Arabidopsis thaliana: one gene and its partner. The protein of the gene in region 1 purifies or fractionates together with the protein of each later gene. This does not show direct contact. Each region holds a gene or a part of one and is shown in the gene's direction. Other genes may lie near its edges.

What was found.
Region 2: the proteins of AT2G47640 (region 1) and AT3G07590 fractionate together in Arabidopsis thaliana (co-fractionation; one large-scale study listed by BioGRID). This does not show direct contact.

The regions. Positions count from the first base shown.
Region 1 is NC_003071.7:19,535,665-19,539,417, forward strand, and holds AT2G47640 (Small nuclear ribonucleoprotein family protein), read left to right. Parts: upstream 1-1,509; 5' UTR 1,510-1,591; exon of another isoform or gene 1,592-1,596; intron 1,597-1,685; 5' UTR 1,686-1,728; coding exon 1,729-1,733; intron 1,734-1,840; coding exon 1,841-1,865; intron 1,866-2,195; coding exon 2,196-2,273; intron 2,274-2,463; coding exon 2,464-2,568; intron 2,569-2,650; coding exon 2,651-2,767; 3' UTR 2,768-3,086; downstream 3,087-3,753. Other genes in the region: AT2G47630 (alpha/beta-Hydrolases superfamily protein), read left to right, coding at 1-136, 254-384, 477-614, 693-791, 867-1,247; UXS4 (UDP-xylose synthase 4), read right to left, coding at 3,087-3,332, 3,400-3,492.
Region 2 is NC_003074.8:2,420,902-2,424,654, forward strand, and holds AT3G07590 (Small nuclear ribonucleoprotein family protein), read left to right. Parts: upstream 1-2,149; 5' UTR 2,150-2,244; coding exon 2,245-2,258; intron 2,259-2,397; coding exon 2,398-2,474; intron 2,475-2,552; exon of another isoform or gene 2,553-2,688; coding exon of another isoform or gene 2,689-2,701; coding exon 2,702-2,893; intron 2,894-2,995; coding exon 2,996-3,057; 3' UTR 3,058-3,086; downstream 3,087-3,753. Other genes in the region: AT3G07580 (uncharacterized protein), read right to left, coding at 276-374, 480-532, 705-755, 981-1,127, 1,563-1,594, 1,711-1,760; AT3G07600 (Heavy metal transport/detoxification superfamily protein), read right to left, coding at 3,399-3,753. UniProt on the Arabidopsis thaliana protein: Involved in splicing regulation.

The DNA.
Region 1 (3,753 bases):
AGGCTGGCTTCAGCTGGATACGCGGTTTTTGGTATGGACTATGAAGGTCATGGAAGGTCCATGGGATCTCGTTGCTACATCAAGAAGTTTGCGAATGTTGTGAATGATTGCTATGACTACTACACATCTATTTGTGGTATTTCATTTGACATATATAACAATAACATTCCTCTCTCTCTTCTTCTCCGTTTATCAGTAAGAAGAGATTTTCTCAACCCCTTAAGTTAATCCGGTTAATTTTATGTGACACCAGCGCAAGAGGAGTACATGGACAAAGGCAGATTCTTGTATGGAGAATCCATGGGAGGCGCAGTCACTTTATTGCTTCACAAAAAAGATCCTTTGTTTTGGAACGGCGCCATTCTAGTTGCTCCAATGTGTAAGGTAAAAAACCTGCAACTATAATTTTAGATTGCAGAGTCGTAGGTGATAATAATATTGAAATGCAAAGTATATTGTTATGTTTAAATATGCAGATATCTGAGAAGGTGAAGCCACACCCTATAGTGATTAATCTGTTAACTAGAGTCGAAGAAATCATACCTAAATGGAAAATAGTTCCAACAAAAGACGTGATTGACGCTGCTTTCAAGGACCTCGTCAAGCGAGAAGAGGTCTGTATAGTGTATACCAACCCTCTGATCACCATCGAAATTGGTTATATGTAAATAATTTGGTGTGTGTAAATGCAGGTAAGGAACAACAAGCTGATATATCAAGACAAGCCTAGGCTCAAAACCGCACTTGAGATGCTTAGGACAAGCATGAACCTAGAAGACACTCTCCACGAGGTTCATGTCTCTTATTGATTGTTCTTGATCCCGTGTTATGACATTATTTCTGACCAAGACAACATGATATTGCAGATAACAATGCCATTCTTTGTATTACACGGAGAAGCAGATACAGTGACGGATCCAGAGGTAAGCAAAGCTCTGTACGAGAAAGCTAGCACAAGGGACAAGACGCTCAAGTTGTATCCAGGGATGTGGCACGCTCTGACGTCAGGTGAGCCTGACTGTAACGTGGACCTTGTTTTTGCTGACATCATCAATTGGCTTGACCTTCGAACCGCTGACCCTGCCTCTCTCACTGTCACTCCTATACGAGTTGGTAACACTACGAGCGTCCAGAGGGTAACTACTGTTAACGGCGTTAGTAACGGTCATAGGAGGCCTAAACGTCCCTTCTTCAATCTCCTTTGTGGTTTGAACCGTGGCCGTTTGGTTCCACGATCCACTGTGTAATAAAATTTTATCAAGGCAAACAAAAAACAATTTATGAAAAAGAGAGTTATGATTTTGTGTGAATTATTAAAGATTGGTGGTCTCATGGTTTGAAATTTGAAAATGTATGGCCCAAAGAATTTATAAGTTATGGCTACCTAAAATATTTATATTCGTTTGGAAAACGTTAAAGCCCCCCAAAAAAAACATTAAAGCCCATATAAATTGACAAGGCCCAAAATTTGAAAGGCCTAACTTAACTATGTTGTAGCGCCGGTCCGCCAAGTACTTTCGAGTATCGAGTCGTCGTTCTTCTTCTTCCTCTGAGAGAGAGATCTGCGGAAAACGAAAGCGAGATTTATCAGGTAAGGTAAAACCCTAACTTCTTCGATCTTTCCTTGTGCGAAAATCTGTAATTCTGCTTTCCTGAGTCTCTTTCGTATTCCTTTACTTTGATAGGTTCGGTGATTCTTTGTGGAGAAGAAGCTCGCGATAAGTCAACATGAGGTATATCTCTCGATGGTTCTAAGTTTCTTCTGCATTTTGTGGTGCTCAATTTGAGACTTGTCTAACACTGTGGTGTTTCTCTTGATTTTCTATATTTTTTCTCGCAGCAAGCCAATGGAAGAGGATACCAATGTAAGCTTCCTTCTAATTTCTCTCGCTACTGCTTTTCTCGATTCGCTGTTTGCCATAATTCATCTACTGTTTCCAGTTTCATCAATCTTAGCTGTCTCTAGTACTTGAGTAGGACTGTGCCACTAAAGATTTTCACTGAATTTTTGTTCCGTTCTGCGTTGAATGGGCAGTAGAGAATTGGATGTTTTCATCACTTCTGCCCTTTGTTGTAATGTCATTTGATTGTTGCTGTTATAAACTCCATTAGTTTCCTGCTTGTATGATACTCTTAAGGATGTGTTCTCTCCTTAAATGTTGTTTCTAATTCATCATGCTTGATACTGTCCTTAGCAGGGCAAGACTGAGGAAGAGGAATTCAACACCGGGCCACTCTCTGTTCTTATGATGAGCGTCAAGAATAACACTCAGGTATAGAGATCTCTAGGAGATGTATTGAGCTTCTGATGTTAGATAATGATGTTGTATATGAAAACTGATTAAATGGATAGATGTTTTTGACCTTCATGGGCTAGGTGTTAGACAATGAAATATTGAAATGTATAACGAAGAGTGGTTAAAATGGAAAGGTTATTAACAAGGTCAACTTTTTTATGTTCAGGTTTTAATCAATTGCCGGAACAACAGGAAACTTCTTGGGCGAGTGAGGGCGTTTGACAGACACTGCAACATGGTTCTTGAAAATGTCAGAGAGATGTGGACTGAGGTAGCCAATATTCATTATCCTGAAATCAGTTTTGTCTACATATAAAACTTGTGGTGCCTGAGATGGCGTTGGTTTGGTTTAGGTTCCGAAAACTGGGAAAGGCAAGAAGAAAGCACTTCCGGTGAACAGAGATCGGTTCATAAGCAAGATGTTTCTACGTGGAGACTCGGTCATTATCGTCCTCAGGAATCCAAAATGAGAGGAAGAGAGACTTAGAGACATGTTCCTTGTTTGTTGTGCTAAAACTGATAAATTCTTGTAGGTAGTAGCATCTTTTAAAGTTATTCGTCTCATTTTCGTTTATGTCCGAATTGACAAGATCTTTTAAAGATCTTTTAAAGACATGTTCCTTGTTTGTTGTTTGTTCAGCTCGCATGTCCAAGCTCAAAACTACGGTGATTGCATTAAAAAAAATAAAACTTTAAAATCGGTGAGGTTTCAATATCACTACATTGACAGGAATAGAAATATCAAAATTAAAAATGAAAACGAAGAGAAACGAGAATCTCCAGCGACAGTTACTCTGTTGATGATGAAGTGGTGGAAGAATCCTGCTTTTGGTCGCCAAAGACACGTTGACGGAAATCTTTGACCATAAGTGGGAGTCCTTGGCGTAGAGCCACCTTTGGTTCCCAACCAAGAAGCTCTTTGGCCTTTGTGATGTCTGGTTTCCTCTTGTGTGGGTCGTCCTCTGTGTTTGGTCTGAACTCTATCTTTGCGTTCGGGTCAATTGTCTCTTGAACCACCTGCTCACCCACCATCCACTCGTTTGGGTCAGATACAAAGATTTTGAGTGATCAGATTATATGTAACAACAAGAGAAAAATGTACCTTAGCGAGCTCGAGCATGGTGAATTCACCGGGGTTACCAAGGTTAAATGGACCGACATGTTCTCCCTCCATCAACCTCATCAGACCTTCCACCTATCACATTATATTTTGCACTCAAGTTTACCAGTACACAATAATAAATAACCATGTAAGGATACGTAGAGACAAAATGAAGCATGATTTTTCAGCTCAACAAAACAAGGACATGGTATAATAAAGATCCGTTGTTGGTACCATAACATTGATTGATATCCATCCATCCCCAAAGTTTATGTCACACTTTACAGAGCTAATCCATTTTACTATGGCATCAAGGTTAGTGAATCCCGTTCACAAAATCAAATCATAGAGAGA
Region 2 (3,753 bases), on another chromosome or scaffold:
ATTCAAAACCAAACTTTGTAAGACAGATGAAAGGAGCAATGAATTTGTAATCCAGTTAAGCTAAAATGAGATGGTAACGTGATTGTTACTCAAATCTCTGGTTTGGGTTTTTTACACTTTCAGGGACCAGAGAAAACAACCGATCCTGACAAAAGCAATATCTGTTATCCTACACACACACAATATAAAAGTCATTGACATACCACCGCTTGTGCCATCTCAACAAACACCATTTCACTAGTCTATATGGGCTCCATCATCTGAACAAGAACCATTCAATTGTTGGCTTTTGGCATCAGCAATCCTCGCCGCACTTCAGTCATGTAATCCGTTGGCGATGGAGGAGGTAATGTCTTGTTTGCTGCAGCCAGGATCTGTAATTGTTTTGACACAAAACAAGAGATGGGGTCTCATCATTCATGTACTCACATCTTTAGAAAAACTAGAAGCATATGATAAGAGTTTGAAGTTAGTTCCACCTGATGAGGTAGTTTACCCCAAACACTCCCTCCATAGTACATGATTGGTCGCACTGTGAAACAGAGAAAGTAGGCAAACTTGAAAATCAGTTATACTTGACTAACCGGAAGACAGAGATCCAGATAAGAACATAGATATATCTGATTGTATTTGGAGGCAACTCAAGCAGCACAAGTATAATAGACACAAAGGACAAAGGAAAACTTAGAATCCCTTAATCTCACCAGATAGATCCACAGTTGGGTCGTCGTATTGATGCATTTCAGCTGCCCATCCTGTTCATGACAAATCAAGAGCACGTAAATAAGACAAGTACATAAAACTGACTGCATAAGCAGTGAATTCAACACACCTTATCTATTAAGTTCAAAGATTTCTAAAACTAGCACTGACTCAACAAATGCTTAGCATAGCAACAGTTGATAGAAGAACGACCAGATAGTGATACAGAGCAAAGAATAAACCAGCTAAATGTTTAAAGAGATAGTTCAGATTTATACGTTGGCTCATGAGCTGATAAGCTGCACTCCTGGAGCAGTCCTTTATTGTTATTATCCTCTGGGTCTGGGATATGTTTTCCATCTGAAGACCAGTAGCAGGAGGCTGATTTCTCTCATTATCGTTGTTCTGTTGGCTACTTGTTCGATCTGCATTTCACTCTTTATTTAGCCAAGAACCATAGCATACTAGCAAAACCAGATATAGCTTGAACGACGATTTATTTTCAAGAAAACAGGCAAACAAATGGGTCAAGTACACACATGGAGAAATGAATCAACCAGCGGATTTGCTAATAAAGAGAGAGCGAGATCTGAATTTCAGGCTAAACTCCTAATAATTCACTTTCTTAGAAACGGTTCTTGAAGTTACCAACTATGCACAAACACAATGTGTACAGATTCGCATGCAATCAATTCCTGAATCTACAAAACAAGATTACTTCTATTCATCGACAATCTTTGATCTAAGCTATAATCTCCACAGAACTAGATACTCTCGGAATTAAGAACCGAATTGATTAAGAATCAATAAAGAACGACTGAGGCAAAGAAGACAGAGAGAGAGAGAGAGAGCTCACATACCTCCCGACTTCCGGCGATTCCCAGAAGCCTTCCTGTGACACGGAGAAGCAACATCGAAAGGTAAGAACGGAGTAGCGAAATCAGTAGAATAAAGAACACTCGAAATCAGCAGATCAAAGACCACTGAAGAAGAAGAAGAAGAAGTTACCTTTGATTAGGAGGAGTGTATCGATTCTGATTGGAGCTCGAATCCGCCATTGACGAGTTAGGATTTACGCAGTTTTTTCAGAGAACTCTCTCTCTCTCTCTCTCTCTCTCTACCGGAGGAGATCTGTCAACAGTCAACTGTTTAACGCATAGAGAACGTTGAAAAGCGTCTTCTCGTCTGAAGTCGTTCAATCTTCACGCGCGAATTCTTCGACGCGTGTTTATCAACCTCTCGCGCGCTTTTATTACGCCTTTCCGAAATTAACGTTTCGTGTTCAATTTCCGGTTTGCTGAACCAACTGTATGTAGATTTCTGGTTGAAACATCTACTGGTCCACCATTGGACTTTATGGGCCTTACTACATTTTTGGGCCCAATATTGTAATTTAGCTGATGGATCCAAAACCGGAATCGGATCTGTACCCGCTCCATCGTGAGGTCTCTCACAGCGAAAGAAGGGTTTTGAGGGTTTTCACACCTTTCGCTGTTTCCTCGTCAATTTCTTTGTTTGGTTGTTCTTTCTTCGCATCCAAAGATGAAGCTCGTCAGGTACTGTTTCGTTCTCAGTTCTTCTTTTCTTTAGAAAATTCATGTTGTTCTTAATCTTAGTTAGCTCCTGGCATGGAATCCATTCCCAATATTGAGCCTGAGCTGATTTGTGTTATATGGTTTTGATTGGATCGAGTAGGTTTTTGATGAAGTTAAACAATGAAACTGTGTCTATCGAGCTGAAGAATGGGACTGTGGTCCATGGAACCATCACTGGTAAGTTCTTATTGTTAGCTTCCGGTTTCTTTGTAGCTCTTCTCATCTTTTCTTCTCTCTCGATTTCTCCGTTGCTAGGTCTTATACAAGTCGCGATCTGTTCCCTTATTTTCAATTGGCCCTAATCGCGTCCTTGTGATCACATGAATAGGTTGAGTAAACACACAGTTAGAGCCAGTAGTCATAAAGGTATATTTATTGAAGTTTAAGCTTGATGATTTGGGCAGGTGTTGATGTGAGCATGAACACTCACTTGAAGACAGTGAAGATGAGCCTGAAGGGGAAAAACCCAGTAACACTTGATCATCTTAGCTTGAGGGGTAATAATATTCGCTACTACATTCTTCCTGATAGCTTGAACCTCGAGACTTTACTTGTGGAAGACACTCCTAGAGTTAAACCTAAGAAGCCTGTTGCTGGTACTGCTTCATTCATTTTTGGTGTTTGTAATATTCGTCTTCATAAGCTAAAAGACTTCTTTATCAGTCCATTTATTCGTTCTCTCTTTCTTTCTTCTTTAGGGAAAGCTGTTGGACGCGGTCGCGGACGTGGCCGTGGGCGTGGTCGCGGCAGAGGTCGTTAGATGTAGCAGCGCTCTGGAACATGTTGAAGGTTTGTGAGTTTAATTTTTAGGAGAATGTACGAGTTATGTAACTAGCAACTCTGGCAAAGGAAAGATTTGATTGAGAAATAGTATGATTGATGCTCTAGTAAGGAGTTACTTTGTAATGGAATTCCATGGATAACAAGATTTGGCTTTACATGTTATAAGAGCATCTACAAGTAGAGAATTTGTGTGATACTGATAGCTCAAGACTTTTTATTCATTTAACAAATCTGACTATCAAATTGCATTAACATGTTGACAATCTTAGTATAGAAAAACTGCTATCTCCTCCGTTAATCTTCCACATGAAACCTATCTCACATGATCCTGCAATTGGGATCTTGATTGTAAACGGGTTCCCCGATCTGATTGTAGGGATCACACGGGTAGGGATAGGAAGATGGCACACCATATCCATCATGAGGCCATGGTTGATAACATGGCTCAGGTTTTTGCCATGGTTGACAACATGGCTCAGGTTTCTTCTCTTCAGGTTTCTTCTCTTCGGGTTTCTTCTCTTCGGGTTTCTTTTCTTCTTCTGGCTTTTTGTCACCATCCTTAGGTGGTTCAACTTTAGCTACGCTAACAAGCTCCGCAAATGCAACTTTTTTCCTGAGTGTGTTGATTAGAGCAATCATATCGACTTCAACACCGGTCACCTCAATCTGGTTC